4 linked regions of the Coturnix japonica genome follow. The main gene of each other region encodes a partner of the protein of the gene in region 3 in a complex. Links are inferred from orthologs where the notes say so. Each region holds a gene or a part of one and is shown on either strand. Other genes may lie near its edges.

Region 1 (4,107 bases), on a different chromosome or scaffold from region 3:
AATGGAGGTATTCAGGCATTTAAAAAGAATGAGGGAAGTCACAGGGGACAGCCCATTAGGAGGAACAGGATGTCAACATTGGTTGAAAATGGGTTCCTTTGAAATAGGAAATGCATTACAATGCCTGGAGATTAGTTTCTTTGTGGCTTCCAGCCCACATTTCTTCCTGCTGGGCTCAGATTACCTACATTCTCCACTATTACCGGTATCATTCAACCGGATTACAGCACAGCTTCCCAACAGATAATACGGTGCTCACCCCACCGCACCCCGATCTCAGCCCTCCCCCAGCTGACGGGGAGGCGAAAGCGGACGCTTCGAACCCACGGGAGAGCGTTCCCAGAGCCGGCGGATAGCGGCACAGGGCCGGGGCACGGCGCCCGAGAGGTAGATCATTATTACCGTGGGATTTAATTAAAGCCCTTACTATACATTTGCCAGTTATGAGTAACTTGCATTTAAAAGCTAAACTTAGATCCCCGGAATGTTTCTTTTCATTATGCTGCTCTCCAGTAACCTCAAGAAAGGGAAAAAGAAAAAAAAGAAAAAAGCAAGAGAAAAAAAAAAAGCCAACGAAACAACAAAAGACGTATAAGCCACCACCAGCTCGGGGCTCATTTGCCTTATCCCTCTCCCCTAAGAGGAGATTTAAAAATAACCCCATCCTGAGCACTGCTCAGTCCCCAGCTTCCACTCAGGCGGCTCAGAGAGGAATTCCCAGCACCAGGCCAGGTATGCAGCTGCAGCCTGCACAAGGCACACTTCCCCTCAACAAACCTTCACCCCTTTAAGCCGGCTTAAATAAATAAATAAATAAATAAATAAATGAAATTAAAGATCAGAAAGCGGAGCATCATCCCCCAGAGACTGGGAGAAACGCTGCTCCCGCTTCTCACCCGAAATCTGTTTGATTTCTGAGAAAGGCATAGGGGGGTTCTGCTGCTCACCACGGAGCTGCTGGCAAAGAACAGGGTCTCACCTATAAAGGAGATGGCCTCGGGGAAGAACTGAGACAGGTTTTGGCTCCAGTGGTCTGAGATGGGGATCTGCTTGTACTTGAACTCGCCGGCGTTTTCAAAGAGGTTGGGCAGGTTGGGGGTAACATTCAAGATGTATTTTATGCCAAACTCTTCTAAAACGTCCAGGTTCGTGGAGTCCTTGGCACAGCCCAAGTAGAGGTAGGGTAAGATCTCCACGGGAAAGGAAGGCTGGTTCGTGGAGAGCGGGCTGCCATCCGAGTCGGTGGCACTATTGGGGTCTCTGTCAATGTCAGACTCGATGTCCGATGAAGAATCTGAGCTGATTCGAAGGCCTCCCAAGCCCAAGACGGGCAGAGGAGGGGAGCTGCTGCTACATGAGCTGTCTAGGTTCGTTTCGCAGTGCAGGGCAAACTCGGCCTGGAACTTACTGAAACCACCTAGGGAGGAAAGCAAGAGGGAAAAAATCGCAACCTGATAGATATACATATAGCACGGCAAGCCTGGGAGAGCTCAGTGTGCAAAGGGACATCTGTTTCCCCACCTCCTCGAGTCTCAGGCAAAAAAAAAAAAGGAAAACGCCACAGTGTCAGCAGACGGACTGACTGACCCAAATGAAGGTTTAGCAAAATCTCCCGCTGCGGCGTGAGGCTCAGAGCGCCCGGGATTACAGCCCGGAGCCGCTCCGCGCTGCGGGGCGCTGTGCGGACGGCGGTCCGCTTGTTCGACCGTCTGTCCGTCCTTCCCGCTCCCCATCGCAGCCCTCCAGCCCCCGGGGCCCCTTTAAACAAAGCGAGGAGAGGAAGAAGCCCCTACCCGGGTTATCAGCGCGCAGTGCCCGGGCCCACCCGGTCCCTTCCGACAGAACCGTAGAATCTCGCTCACCTTCCAGATAGAACGCCTTGCAGCCCTCGTCTTTCAGACGCTTGAGCAGCAGCCCCAGCACGGACTCGCCGCCCGTGTTCTCGTTCCAGTCGCGGCTGTGCTCGTCGTACAGCACCACCGTATCGGTGCCGCAACGGCGGGCGAAGCGCTCGCGGTCTTCCTCGCTGCTGGCGACCAGGGCGCGCAGGGGCAGGTTGCCCTTCTTGAGGCGGCGGAGCATCAGGCCGGGGATGGCCAGGTTGATGGCCGTCTCGATGTGGGACGACTCGTACAACTCCTGAGGTCGGCAGTCCATCAGCAGCAGCCGGTCGTTGCCCATCTCCAGCTGTTCGTTCAGCCACGCCACGGATTTACTAATCGCCATTTCCGACGCGAAAGAGACGGGTCTGAACGTATCTAGCATGAGGAAGGACGGGGGGCGCAGAGCGGGCTCGGGAAGCGCCCCTCGCTCTCACAGGGGCGTGCGGTCGGGCTGCGGCCCCGCAACTCCGCACAACTTATCTCCCCCCGCCCCGGGGAAGTGAATCACGCAGCCCCCCCGCGCCTCCCCCGCGCCGGGCGGCGGAGCCACGGGAGGGAGCAGCGGCTGCGTGTGTGTGTGTCTGTGTGTGTCTATCTATGTGTGTGTGTGTGCGGCTCCGTGTGCGTGCGCGCTGCCTGCTGCCCGTTCTCTCTCTTTTTTTTTTTTGTCAATGAATCCCTGAATGAACCTGCCTAATCGCCGCTGCAGCCCGAGCCCTTGGGCTTTTCCTCCGCCCTGAGTGAATGAAATCCAATTAGCGTGCCTCCGAGCGGAGCTGCCCGGCTCGGCGCAGAGCGGGGCTGCTCCCTCCCTCTCTCTCTCCCTCCCGCCCCGGTGCCGGCGCTGCCCGGAGCGCTGTCTCCTCTCACCCAGCGGCTCTCAATGGGCTCGGCCTCGCCGCGCTCAATGGAGACATTCTGAGGCGCAGCCAATGGGGGCTCGCGGAAGGGGCTGTTGCCGCGGCGACGGGCCGGCTGGAACAGGTTGTGTTGATGAATTGTTAATGAGTTTGTCATTCACAAAAACGGAAAGGAATTTCCGCTCCGGATAAGCCGAGTGCAAACAAGCGGCGGCCGCGGCGCAGCGGGTGGGGGCGGCGGGGGCAGGTGAGGGGGCGCGGCCCGGGCCCGGCCCCGCCGCTTCTCCGCGGGGCTCCGGCGGCGCCTTCCTGGCCCCCTTCCCCCTTCCTGCCCCCCGCGCCCCTTCCCTCAGCCCCACGTCCCCCCCGACCGCCGCTCCGAGCCAGGGCGCTGGGGGGAAGAAGGGGGGATTCCGTTGTCACGAGGGGCGGGCTGCCGGCCCTGTCCTCAGCTGATCCTCACGCAGGGTGAGCTCCCGGCTCGCCCCGCTGCTTCCCCCCCACCCCGGCTTTCCGCGTCGTGCCGCCCCTCTGCCGTCCGCGGACGCGGTCCCGGCGCCCCCCAGCCCGCCGCTGCCAGCGGAAGGACGTGGGGGCGCGGCGGGGCGAGACCGGGAGCGGCTTAGCCGCGGGGGTAAGTGAAAAGCCAGCAGCGAAAATAACCCGGGAGAAGCCCGGCCTGGACGCTAATCCCGCTGCCGGCGCGGGGGTAACGTCGTTCCGCGGGGGCTAATCCCGCTCGTAAGGCGGCCGCGTTCCCCGCGCTGCCGGCACGCGTGATGCTGATGGGACGTGGCACTAAGGTGGCACCGCAGCGGGGTTGTGACAGAGCCCGTGCTGCCAAGATGAAAGGCTGGAAAGCGTTCTGTAAAGCTTGTCCCGTCCCTGAGCGCTGGCTGTGCTCAGCGCAGGTAAATGGTTTGGCTGTGACGGCCAACTCTGTGGAGCTGGCGCTGTAAAAATAATAGGTCCATCTAGAAAACAAACAAGTGTGATATCAAGTGATGGCCCGAGAGATGGAGATGGAGACAATTTCAGTATAACACTGTGGCAAGTCCCAGCTGGCTCGATGCAATGATAAAATGCAATTTGCTGTTCGTAGTCCATGTTATTAATTGACGTGGCTTACAGTGTGCATTGATTCCTTTTTTTAACACCACAGACAAGATGAGTCGTGTTTCAGAGTTTGGGTTTGAAAAAAACAATCAAAATATCATCTCAACTAAGATATATGTAGATGTGTATTTCTATCAAATGCTTCCACATTCATATAAGGAAAACTTGCCTCCTTGATGACTATAATATTTTAGGAAGAAAATACATTCTGATTGTCATCTTCAGGGCATTTTCAGTGACGTTTGATG
Region 2 (3,295 bases), on a different chromosome or scaffold from region 3:
AGCAGCTCATCCCAGGGTCCTCCTGAGTGACTTCAGCTCGGCTGGGGCCTCTCCCAGGTGTTTCCTGGGTGATACTGGGGTCCCGGCCTGCCGCTCCCAGCTATGAGGGGTGCCCATGGAGGACAGATGTGGGATCAGCCAGGATTTGACCCTGAGTGCTTCATTTCGTGCCCCGATGTGTTCCCACCCTGTACAGCCATGGCCATGCTGTGATCCTACCTGCCCCAGCCCCAGCTTCATCTGTGCCCAGTTCTCTGCAGGGCTGTCCCTGAGCCTCCAGGGCATTTGGTACCCTGCTCTGTGCCTACTGAGAGCTCTGACCTTGCAGCATCTCCATCCCATTGGGTCCATCTCTCCTCACAGAGGAAGCTGGGGAGGAGAAGGAACTTTGCCACCCTGAGCTGCTGCCTTCACCATGGGGACCTCTACCCGAAGAAGAACCAGCATCACCCCCATCTCCCTGCCAGGGGCTGCTTGGGGCTGCTGGTGGTGGAGTCCTGGCAGCCTCCTCTAGACAAACCACCCCATCACATCTTGCTCAACCATTCAGATAGAGCAGTTTCCTCTTAACAGTTTGCTGATACTTGTGGGATGCAGGAGACTGTCCCAGGGCTATTTCCCCCATCCCAGTATGTCCAAACAATAGGATCTGGCCATGACCCTCACAACGTCCTCCTCTGCTCCTCATCCCTGGGGTCTGCTGCTCTCCATGTTAAGATGGAGATGCCATCCCAACCCATCCAACCCAAAGTTCCTTCCTCCTGGTGCTACAGGCACTTTCTCTGTGCCACCCGCGGATGCTGGAGCCAGGGCAATGAGGACCCAAAACACTTCCCCTGCTTAGGGATTTTCTCATTCTGGTCCAGCGAGGGGTTCACCAGCCTCCTTGTGTCTCTCTCATCTGCCCTGTGTTTTCCAGACACTTCTCTGATGGCAACTTCTTCCCTCAGCAGCTGAGGCCCCCCCTTTTCCACTGCTCGTACTTCAGAGCAAGTGCTTCGTGGCTGCTGCAGCATGGTCCAAGCCTGCACAGTGTGCCACAGAGCTCATAACAGCAGCCTGACAGCCCGGGTGGCCACCAAAACCATGGACAAGGCGGACAAGCCCAGTCCCTCTGTGAAGAAGCACGTACGGCTCCAGGAGAGGTGAGCACAGCCAGACTTTGCACTGCCCAGCCCTAAAGCACAGCCTCCCAAACTCCCCTTCTCTGGCCTATGAGCTGTCAGGGCTCACTGGGGACCCTTTGCCTCCTTTGCAGGAGGGGCTCCAACGTGTCGCTGGTGCTGGACATGAGCTCACTCGGCAGCGTGGAGCCCATCCAGCCCGTATGCACACCACGGGACATCACGCTGCAGTTCCTGAGGACATCCAGCCACGTGCTGAGGACAGAGGAGTTGCAACAGCGTGCCCAGAGCCTTGCACAGCTCCAGGAGGAGTTCTCGGTATGAGGGTGGGTGTGCAGGTGGAGGGGCACTGAGCATCTCCTGTTTGACAGCAACTTGCTCTCCATTGTGTTGGTGGAAAGCCTTCCTGTGCCAAGCTCTGCTCCCATCCATGAGGTGTCCCACCCCATTGGGGTGTGGATGGAGCTCACGCCAGCTCTGGTGATGCTGGGTCAGAGTCTCACTGCCTGCTGTGCCCGGTGAGGAGACACGAGCAGCACCAAGAGGGATTCCTCAAAGTTGTTCTCCCCTGCTGCAGAAAATCCCACCCAACTTCATCAGTCCGGAGGAGCTGGAGATCCCTGGACACGCCTCCAAGGACAGATACAAAACCATCCTCCCCAGTACGTGCCACTGCGTTCCTTCGTCTCACATTCCTCCATGTGCAGGGATATGTGTGTGCTGTGGGTGTCCCTGGTGTATCCTGGTGTCCCTGCTGTGCTGGTTCTGCTGCTGGCAGTTGCCTTGCAGGGGTGTAAGCCCAGCAATGGGGCAGTTTGTGGGGAGCTTCTTGGGGCATAAAGCACATCACAGGCCAGCCTGTGCTGATCCCTGCTCCATGTGGCCTTAAACATCCAAATTGGGAGGTGTAAAGGGTGAGAAATTGGGTCATCTTCAAGCACTGCGGGAAGGATGCAGGGGGCTGGTGCCGGCAGATGTGAGCATGGCATGGAGCTGGGTGGGAGAGCATGGCTCTGAAGGACAATCCCAGGGCACCTCTCACTGCCTCTTTCAGATCCTGAGAGCCGAGTGTGCCTCAGGAGGGCAGGGAGCCAGGAGGAAAACGGCTACATCAACGCCAACTACATCACGGTGAGCACACTGCCTGCTGGGGGGCACTTGGTGTCCCATATCTCATGGTACTGCAGGGCTGGGAGTGCTGGAGCTCTTGGTTTCTGCCCAGATAAGGTGTGTGGAGTGTGACATAGGCTGTGGAATATGGCTGAAGCTGGCTTACATTTAGCAGTGTGATTTTTGAGTGAGCAGAGCACTTGAACACGCTCCCTCCCAGATAATTCTCCATCGCCATGCACTAGTCAGTTGTCATGTGCAGGAAGCAAGCTGTGCCAATGGAGCACACCAGCCTGGTACCGACACATCCAGAAACTGCCTCTCCCCTCAGGGGGTTTGTTTCAATTCCCCAAAAAGAAAAAGGGGTGACTGTGGCTTATCTCCAGCATCCAATGAGGTCCCCAGATAGATGTCCCCAGACCCAAGGTGACTGTTGGTGTCCTCACAGCAATAACCTGGGGGTGCTTGGATGGAGCATGGGTGCACAGGACTCCATAGGCTTGCTCCTGGTTTGCTGGTCTAGGAGGATGGAGAGGACTCCTGGCAGTCCCTGGCTGGCTCTGTGAAAGGATTTCAAGGGCACGTTTGGGAGGAAATAGACAGTGTAGGTCAGGCTCTCTGCTGCAGAGGACAAGCAGAGCTGGGGGGCTGAGGTGCAGACCAGGTGCCCCCTGTCCCTGAAGGGCTGTGTGCTCGGCAGGGCTATGCAGGACGTCCCCGGGAGTACATTGCCACTCAGGGACCCATGCTGAACACCGTCAGTGACTTCTGGAGAATGGTGTGGCAGGAGCAATCTCCCATCATCGTCATGATAACCGAGCTCCAGGAGCGCAAGGAGGTACTGCTGTCCCTGCTCTACAGCACCCTGACCTGGAGGGGGTGGGTAGGGAGAATAACAGCAGCAGTGGGATGGTGTGAGATCAAAGGTGGGGCTGAGCTTTGCCCTCAGAGGGCACCTTCTTGGAGGAGAGTCCCTGGGCTGCAACTTGGACCCCATCTAGCAAAGCCTCCTCTTCTCCATCAACTTCACTTGCTCTGGATGTGCTTTGCTAGATGAATAA
Region 3 (3,560 bases):
TAAGCAGCACCAAGTTGTACTTGTCAGGCATTTTGCAGTCACCTACTTTTCGTAGCTCCTGCCTGATACGTGGTGGTTCTTCACATAGGCTCCAGTCAATACAAAGAAGAGAGTAAGCTTGTTTAAAACAATCAAATAATCTATAAGACTCCTTTGTTTTATTCCCAAGTACAGGCTGTTTGTGCTTAAGAGTTTCTAGCTCTGTTTTCTGCTGGTGACTTCCCGTTCTGGCCTGCTGGAAACACCCCATCAGCTCAGAGAGCAGCCGCTGGGGAGGTGGTGTTTTGTTGTTTGGTTTGGGACTTGTGGGCTGCTGATGTGTTGGATACACATATGTACTAACAGCAGGTGTCATGAATGCTTAGTGCAGGGAATTCTGGAGCACGTGTGGAGCACTGGAGTTCAGTGTTGCCAGAGGCATGTAACATTTGCATGTGGTCTGTGCTTATAGATGAGTTACAGGTCTGAGCAGGTCAAAGTGATTCTGGGAGGAGGGAGAAGTAAAAGGGGTGTATTTTCTTGTGAAATGGCTGAGGCCAATAAATGTGAAGTATGGGCTTGATAAGCATTTTTAAAGAATTCTGGAGATTGCAGTAGCGAATAAGAAGAAATTTGAAAGGAATAAGAAATCATGAACACATTTAAATTCTAATTATATTAAAAGCATATGGTAATGTAATTAAAGAGAAATTATTATAATAATTGCCATTCATATAAACAAGACCTTAAAGAACATCCTGGAACAGCCGTGTAACCATTCTTTCCTTTTCACTCAGTAATAACTTGAGGCTGTGGTTTGGAGAGCTGTGCTTCCGCAGAACCTCATGGCTGGGCTGGGGCAGTGACGTTCCCTGGGAGTGGGTGGGAATTCAGAGCAGGAGGCCGGAGCTCCTGTGTTGGTGTAGCTCTGAGTGCTGCCCTGTGCTTCTTACTTTGGCGTGCTCTCAGTGTGGCCTTGGTGTGTTTGCTGATGCTGGGCACCATCACGTGCTGCGGCACAGCACTGCTCCTTGCTTTCGCTAAATGAGGGTGTTTATTTTCTGGAACTGTTGTCTTTGGAATTGAAATGGGAGGAGTCCTCACAAGTTCCCCATTCCCTTGTTCATGGAGGTGCAGAAAATGCAGTTCAGTGGAGGAGTGAGATGTGGGGTAGGATTCTGCTGCTTGAAAGACGACTTCTGAGAGCGTTTCCAAAGTGAATGGGTTTGCCGAGGATTCACTTCTTGCCTAAAATTGCTTCTTGATCACAGTGTACAAGAAAAGAGTCAAACTTACTTTTTCCACGGGGTGATGAAGGAGGTGAACGTGCCTGTCTTTGTTCAGGTCCTTGGGATTCGGCAGACTAAAAGTTGGCTGCCAAAGGTCATGACTTGTAGGTACCCAAATATGTTGAAGAAAAATATTGTTGCGGTGTCATCAAATTAAAAGATACTTGTACTGTCTCCTTCATTTGATAAAAATAAATGTAAAAACAAGTGGGCAGTCTCTGTGTTCTGTAGAATTAGCATTCTTGCTTTCTTAATCGAATGGATAAATTTTAACATGTATTATTTATTCTGTTCTAGTTCTGCCTATGATAACGTCAACAAGGTTCGAGTTGCTATAAAGAAAATCAGTCCTTTTGAGCATCAGACGTACTGCCAGAGAACTCTGAGAGAGATAAAGATCTTACTGCGCTTCAGGCATGAGAATATTATCGGAATAAATGATATTATCAGAGCTCCAACTATTGAACAAATGAAAGATGTGTATCCTTTCAAAATCTGTTATGCTTAGTGATACCTCCTTCTCTGCTTTCCTCAATTCGTCCTTATCCTTACTAAATTTTAATAAGCTGGCTTTTATTATTTTAAACAGGAGTGGAAGTTTGTAGTGTTTGATGGATTTGCCAGTGTGTTAGTAGGTAGGTTTGGTGCCTGGGTGAGTGTCAGTTTTGTTTGGGTTTTTCCACATTTAAAAAAAATATTCCAAGGCAAAGAACTCAGTGTTCATTTAGACCAGTCAGTCTTTGAACTACAGTCACTTTATGCAGAACCTTTGTTACAACTATCAGGTTGCTTCAAGGAGAAAATGGAATGGTAAAGCTCTGCTGTAACTGTCTAAGATTTTCCTAACGAATGGAAAGGATCCATTTTGGGGGAGGGGATAAATGAGGCCAAACATCCCTCCCCCCTTACTCTAGCCCTGCAATGCTTCTTGCATGTATGAAGTCTGAAATGACACACGAGCTGGTAAATGTGTGCTCGTTGTTGGCTTCATGTGTCTGTCTAACCTTGTGGCTGTCACAGCTGAGAGGCTCTGCCTGTGATACCAACCTTAGTTTGGAGTCAACTCGCATCATTTCACTAAGTCTGTATATCTAGTTTCCTGTTGGCTTCCCAGATTTTCACAGATGTCTGCCTGTTTAAAAGCACAGGGCATTGAACTGAATCTGGGTCAAATGTTCTCACTTCGTTAATTAGCAGTGTGCTTTTTCAGCTCAGTCTTCTGTGGCCACTGGCTGCTGTCAGTGTGTGCTCTTGAAAAGGTGTCCTGGTTGTGTGGTGTGATCTGAGCATGCAAAGGATGGGATGGAAATGCCCAGCTGAGACGGCAGTAGAAGTGTTTGGTGTTTGGGGCTGTGGGTTTGTTAGTTTTTTTTAATCCTGTTTTGGTGGAAAACGGTCATGGAACTACGCCCCAGGAGTTCTGGAGCTGAGTTGAATTAAAGGAAAGGAAATTTTTGGCTCAATTCATTTTTGTCAAAGCAGAATAAAACCCTTTATGTTAATTTCAGTCTTGGGAAAGAAAATATGATGGAAGGTACTACGATTTAATTTGAGCACAAATAGTCCTTTGCTTACCAGTATAGCATGATAAACATGTAGTAAAGGAGAGCATTTTGAAAGTGCCAGAGACAGATCAGAAGTGATTGGATTTTCCACCTTGAAGCTTTTGTGCAGCAGGAAGCAAATATCTTGGCTTATTACTCATGAAATGAAAACAACTTCTATTTCTTGGCAAGCAGGATAGAAAGCATTAACTGTAAGATTCCAATATAGATTAGTCTCTAATGTAAGGAAATAGTTTGATTATCTTGGGGGGACCACATGCTGGTGCCTCTTAATTCTCTAAGGGTCTCTATCATGTATCAGGATTGATTTGATTAGAAGTCCGTAAAGCAAGTAGTTCCAATTGTTGTGAAGCAAATAGAAGAAGACAAAAAACAAAAAACAAAAAGGTGTTAGAAGTTTTGTTTGGTACTGGGGGTTAATATGTAACATGCCACCAGCTTTGTTTTGCTGCCTTACATCTGATGCCTTACAGATACATTGTGCAAGACCTTATGGAAACAGATCTTTACAAGCTCTTAAAGACTCAACACCTCAGCAACGACCACATTTGTTATTTCCTTTACCAGATTCTGAGAGGGTTAAAATATATCCATTCAGCCAATGTGCTTCATCGTGACCTCAAACCTTCAAATTTGCTGCTTAACACCACTTGTGATCTCAAGGTTAGTGGAAATTTCTTAAAAATGTTCCTATGGTCTTCATCAGCTACATAACTGCTATAACTGA
Region 4 (4,264 bases), on a different chromosome or scaffold from region 3:
TCATCTGTGGGCACTGGGAAGTCAGCTGCTCTCTGTGCAAACGTCTCCGCCACCAGCAGCGGAAAAACCAGCGAAGCATCAGCATAGACCTGCAGGAGAGGGAGAGGGAGACCCTCGCGTCCCCCCCAGCACCCCCCAAACCCCCTCCCTGTGCCCTCACCTTCACTGGCGTGGCGTCCATTCGGATCTTCCCCCACGAAACAGCCTCATCCGGCTGCGCCCCAGAGTCAGACCCATCAAACTCCTGAGCTGTGTTCACATAGACGGAGAAATCGGCACCGTTCCTCTGCAAGGAGAGGGAGCACAATGAGGGCACTGTCCCCAGTTGCCAGCCCCCCTAATCCCCCTCCCCACAGCCCCCCCCTCACCATCAGGTTGGCGTTGGCGATGTGGTGTTTTACCAGTCCCCCCCCCAGGATGATCATCCCTGTCTTGCGGGCAAAGATGGCCCTCGTGTTGATGAGCCTTAGGTCTGTGGGGGGGTACAGCTGTCACCAGGAGGGGTCCTGCTGTCATCCCCCCCCCCACCATGGGGAAAAAACTCACCTTCCACGATGTCCAGCACCAACCCCGGGTGTTTGTAGGAGTGGAAGAAGATCATATCCCCCAAAGAGCCGTCAGTGAGCGCTGGGCTCAGCACCGGGATGTTGTTCTGGGGGAGGATGTGGTGACAACAGGGGAGCACGGGGACCCCCATGGGAGTGTGGGGACCCCCCCCCCAGGATAGACGCTGGCAGAGATGCCCCCATACCTTCTGAGCCCAGTAACACACTGACTCGGGGTTGTTGATTTCCTTCCCCAAACGTGCGATCATCCGTGATGGCGTCCACCTCACGCCCTGTGGGACCCACAGGTGACCCCACATCCACCCCCCAGTGACCCCACGTTCCCCCCCACACCTCCCAGCTCCACCTCTGTCTCCTGCTCCTCCACCATCTGATCCAAGATGGGCATCAGCCAATCCTCAAACTTGCAGTAGTTATCATTGGGCACCAGCAGGTTTCCAATCCTGGGGGGAGGGTTGTGCTCAGACATCTTCATACCCCCCCATACATCCCCCCCCCGGTTTCCTCTCCCCCCGGGTGTCCCCACACCGGTTGATGCCGTTCTGCCGCAGCTCCCGGCCCCGCAGACTGAAGTCCCCCACGTAGGTGGGTGCCAGGCATTTAATGAGGTCCTCCTCCACACCGCCCGCTGTTGTCACCACCACATCCACCTGCCCAGAGGGGGGCAAGAGTGGGGGGGGGGCTCAGGGAGCCCTCAGGGCCAGCGCTGAAGACCCCCTCCCCCAAGGTACTGAGACCAGTGCGGCCCCAAAGCACTGGGGGCAGCATAGAGACCCCTGGGGACACGTCAGGGACCCCTAGAACCCCTGGGGACACTGGGACACCACAGGGACCCCAGGACCCCCCACCCACATCAGAGGGGAACCCCCAGGCTCCAACCCCCTCCCCCAAAACCACACCCACAGCCTCCCCGCAGTCCCCCCGTACCATCACACACTGCCCCAAGGTGCCCCAGGACCCCGTTACCACCCCCGAGGGTTGGGGAGGGGGCTCAACAATGTGAGGAACCCCCCACAACTCTCTACCCCATCTCTGTACCCCAGGACCCCTCTGTGAGCTCCCCCAGGACCCCAGCAATTGACTGGGGGGGTGGCTAACAAACTGAGGACCCCCCCCCATATCACCCTGTATCCCCGTTACCCCCCGTTACCCCCCGTTACCCCCGTTACCCCCGTTGCCCCCGTACCATGCGGTGCTGCACGAGGAAGCGGATGCTCTCCCGCACCCCGGAGCTGATGAGGTTGGAGGTGAAGCCCAGGAAGATGGTGCAGCCCGAAGCCGCCCCCGCGGCGCCCCCCAGCTCAGCCCGGCTGCGCTCAGCAGCGCTCAGCGGCTCCATCTTGGCAGCGATCTACGGGACGGAACCGGGTAAGGGGGGGGGAAACGGAACCGGTAAAGGGGGGTAATGGAACCGGTAAGGGGGGGTAATGGATCCGCGGTAAGGGGGGGTAAAAAAATTTTGGGGAAAAATTCCGGTAAGGGGGGGAAAACGGAACCGGTAAGAGGGGGGATTAATGCGATCCGGTAGGGGGTAGGGAAACGGAAACCGGTACAGAGGCAGGGATAATGATTCAGTTAAGGGGGCGGGAAAACGGAACCGGTGAAGAGGGGGACTATGGGAACGGTAAGGGGGGTAATGGAACGTATTACGGGAGATAATAGACCCGATAAGGGCGCGGGAAATGCGAACCGTAAGGGGGGATAATGGATCAGGTAAGGAGGTAATGGATCCAGCGTAAGGGGGGGTGATATGGAACCGGTAAGGGGCCGATAATGGACGGTAAGGGGGGAGATAATGGAATCCGGGTAGGGGATAATGGAACCGTAAGGGGGAAACGGAACCGGTAAGGGGGGAGATAATGGATCCGGTAAAGGCGGGGGGAAACGGAACCGGTAAGGGGGTGGTAATGGAACCGGTAAGGGGGGATAATGGAACCGGTAAGGGGGGGACGGATCCGGTAAGGGGGGGGGGTGCCGGTGCCGCCCCCCCGCACCATGCGGCGGATCTCGGCGACGGCGCGCGCGAAGTTCGTGGCCTGGAACCCGGTGGTGAGAAACGAGCGCAGCACCGCGCCCGGGTCGGGGCCGTCCGCGAAGTCGTATCCGCGAACCGGGAGCGTCTGAGCGGGGAGCGGGGCGCTGCGCTTCAGCACCGCGTGCAGGGCGGCGGCCGGGGCTTCCCCCGACGGCGGCTCCTCCGCGGGGCCGCTGAGCTCCGTGGGCCCCATGGGCGCCGCCATCTTGGGCCGCCCCCCTGCGCCTGCGCGGTGGAGGCGCAGTACGTCGGAGCGCCGCCATCTTGAAGAGGAAACGGTGGCCGCAGTGGGTCAAAAGGCGCCAGAAAGCGAAGCGTCAAACGGTGGAGAGCTCTGTCGAAAACCCAAACCCTGAACCTCTTAAACCCCAAATCCCGCCGTAATCTGCCTCTAAATCCCAATCCCCGAATCTAGGCCCACTCCTAACCCCCACAATTCCAAACCCTGACCCCAAACCCCCCCATCCTGACCCCAAACCCCCCCATCCTGACCCCAAACCCCCCCACATCCTGACCCCAAACCCCCCCACATCCTGACCCCACTCTGCCCCACAAAGACACACCACAGCCACACACCTCCAGCCAAATCCCTTTAATTCCTGCACAACGGGCCCCTCTGAGTCCATTGGGACCCCTCTGCCCCCCAGGGGGTCCCCATCTCTGGCCATGGGAAGGGGGGAGGAGGGTTGAGGGGCAAAGCCCCCATTCCTGGGGGGGGTCACAGCCACATTCAGCCTCCAAACTTCCAGACCTCCACCGAGAGCCCCCCGGAGGCAGCTGCCACCACGTCGCCCTCGACGCTGATCTGGGGGAAATGGTGGAGATCAGGAGAGGGTGGGAACAACGGGGCGTCCAGGAGGGAAAATGTGACCCCAGCCCTTACCCCATTGAGAACATCATCGTGCGTCCAGGAGCAGATGGTGCGGGGGGGGTCCGTGGGGACGTGGATCTGTAACAGAGAGACGCCATTTCTTCCTCCCCCCATTAAGATATTATGGGAATTGGGGGGGAGGCACCTCGCCAGCCTCACACAACCCAACCCCTCAATCCCAGTGTGGGGTGGGGGGGTCGCCACGTGAGGTTGGGGTCCCTCACCCGCATGGTGCGGTCGGTGGAGGTGGTGTACAAAGATCCTGCATTCTGCCACAGCCCCGTGATCTGCAGGCGGTGTCCCACGTCGAAGCGCTGCAATGGGGGCATTGAGGGGAGGGGTACGGCCCCAAAGACCCCCCTCCCAGCCCTATATGTGGCTTTATACCCGCTCCGCTCGGAAGTGGCCGTCGCTGTTCCCGAAGACGTGGACCCGGCCCTGGTTGTCCCCAGCCCAGAGTTGCGTCCCCCGATATGACATGGAGAGGAGGTAATGCTGCAGCTGTGGGGCAAAACACGGGCTTATGGGGCAAGCGGTGCTGCAACATTGTGGGGAGAAAGTGGGATGGGGAACAGTGCTGCACCCCAAACCCCAAATCCAGCCTTCAAACATTGATTATCAGCCCCCAAGGCGTGAATAATGTGAGGCGGATGGAGCCCCCAGCCCCACACTTGGGGGTCAGCCCCACCTGCAGGCGCTGCAGGATGCCGTCAGCACGGCGGTCGATGACCACCAGGGTTCGGTCTTCACTCCCAGATACGATGAGACGGTCATCGGCTGCCAGCGCCAACA

What was found.
Region 1: the proteins of MAPK1 (region 3) and DUSP6 are in contact, whole or in part, in a crystal structure (PDB 2FYS), measured with the Rattus norvegicus proteins. The link is inferred for Coturnix japonica from reciprocal best matches to the Homo sapiens genes MAPK1 and DUSP6. Residues at the interface, in NP_446294.1 of Rattus norvegicus: Glu79, Glu107, Thr108, Leu113, Gln117, Leu119, Asp122, His123, Tyr126, Phe127, Gln130, Thr157, Thr158, Cys159, Asp160, Tyr314, Asp316, Asp319; in NP_446335.1 of Rattus norvegicus: Arg64, Arg65, Leu66, Gln67, Lys68, Gly69, Asn70, Leu71, Pro72, Val73, Arg74.
Region 2: the proteins of MAPK1 (region 3) and PTPN7 are in contact, whole or in part, in a crystal structure (PDB 3D42), measured with the Homo sapiens proteins. The link is inferred for Coturnix japonica from reciprocal best matches to the Homo sapiens genes MAPK1 and PTPN7. Residues at the interface, in NP_002736.3 of Homo sapiens: Thr185, Glu186, Tyr187, Val188; in NP_001351807.1 of Homo sapiens: Arg124, Tyr125, Lys126, Ile128, Asp257, His258, Ser292, Ala293, Gly294, Ile295, Gly296, Arg297, Gln335.
Region 4: the proteins of MAPK1 (region 3) and DHPS are in contact, whole or in part, in a cryo-EM structure (PDB 8PVU), measured with the Homo sapiens proteins. The link is inferred for Coturnix japonica from reciprocal best matches to the Homo sapiens genes MAPK1 and DHPS. Residues at the interface, in NP_002736.3 of Homo sapiens: Tyr113, Tyr187, Ala189, Thr190, Arg191, Trp192, Arg225, Lys231, His232, Tyr233, Leu234, His239, Lys259; in NP_001921.1 of Homo sapiens: Arg159, Glu160, Asn161, Asn164, Asn173, Glu174, Tyr176, Cys177, Glu180, Asp181, Met184, Asp188, Asp243, Phe247, Tyr250.

Annotation. Positions count from the first base shown.
Region 1 is NC_029516.1:39,390,560-39,394,666, forward strand, and holds the start of DUSP6 (dual specificity protein phosphatase 6), read right to left. Parts: upstream 2,842-4,107; 5' UTR 2,266-2,841; coding exon 1,863-2,265; intron 1,418-1,862; coding exon 980-1,417; intron 1-979. UniProt on the Homo sapiens protein: Dual specificity protein phosphatase, which mediates dephosphorylation and inactivation of MAP kinases. Has a specificity for the ERK family. Plays an important role in alleviating chronic postoperative pain.
Region 2 is NC_029541.1:737,176-740,470, reverse strand, and holds part of PTPN7 (tyrosine-protein phosphatase non-receptor type 7), read left to right. Parts: intron 1-919; exon of another isoform or gene 920-953; 5' UTR 954-1,014; coding exon 1,015-1,145; intron 1,146-1,258; coding exon 1,259-1,442; intron 1,443-1,701; coding exon 1,702-1,786; intron 1,787-2,178; coding exon 2,179-2,255; intron 2,256-2,934; coding exon 2,935-3,072; intron 3,073-3,295. UniProt on the Homo sapiens protein: Protein phosphatase that acts preferentially on tyrosine-phosphorylated MAPK1. Plays a role in the regulation of T and B-lymphocyte development and signal transduction.
Region 3 is NC_029530.1:397,251-400,810, forward strand, and holds part of MAPK1 (mitogen-activated protein kinase 1), read left to right. Parts: intron 1-1,565; coding exon 1,566-1,748; intron 1,749-3,306; coding exon 3,307-3,496; intron 3,497-3,560. UniProt on the Homo sapiens protein: Serine/threonine kinase which acts as an essential component of the MAP kinase signal transduction pathway. MAPK1/ERK2 and MAPK3/ERK1 are the 2 MAPKs which play an important role in the MAPK/ERK cascade.
Region 4 is NW_015439889.1:91,915-96,178, reverse strand, and holds the start of DHPS (deoxyhypusine synthase), read right to left. Parts: upstream 2,843-4,264; 5' UTR 2,807-2,842; coding exon 2,561-2,806; intron 1,918-2,560; coding exon 1,753-1,917; intron 1,217-1,752; coding exon 1,095-1,216; intron 1,010-1,094; coding exon 913-1,009; intron 839-912; coding exon 752-838; intron 653-751; coding exon 547-652; intron 473-546; coding exon 369-472; intron 287-368; coding exon 161-286; intron 90-160; coding exon 1-89. UniProt on the Homo sapiens protein: Catalyzes the NAD-dependent oxidative cleavage of spermidine and the subsequent transfer of the butylamine moiety of spermidine to the epsilon-amino group of a critical lysine residue of the eIF-5A precursor protein to form the intermediate deoxyhypusine residue.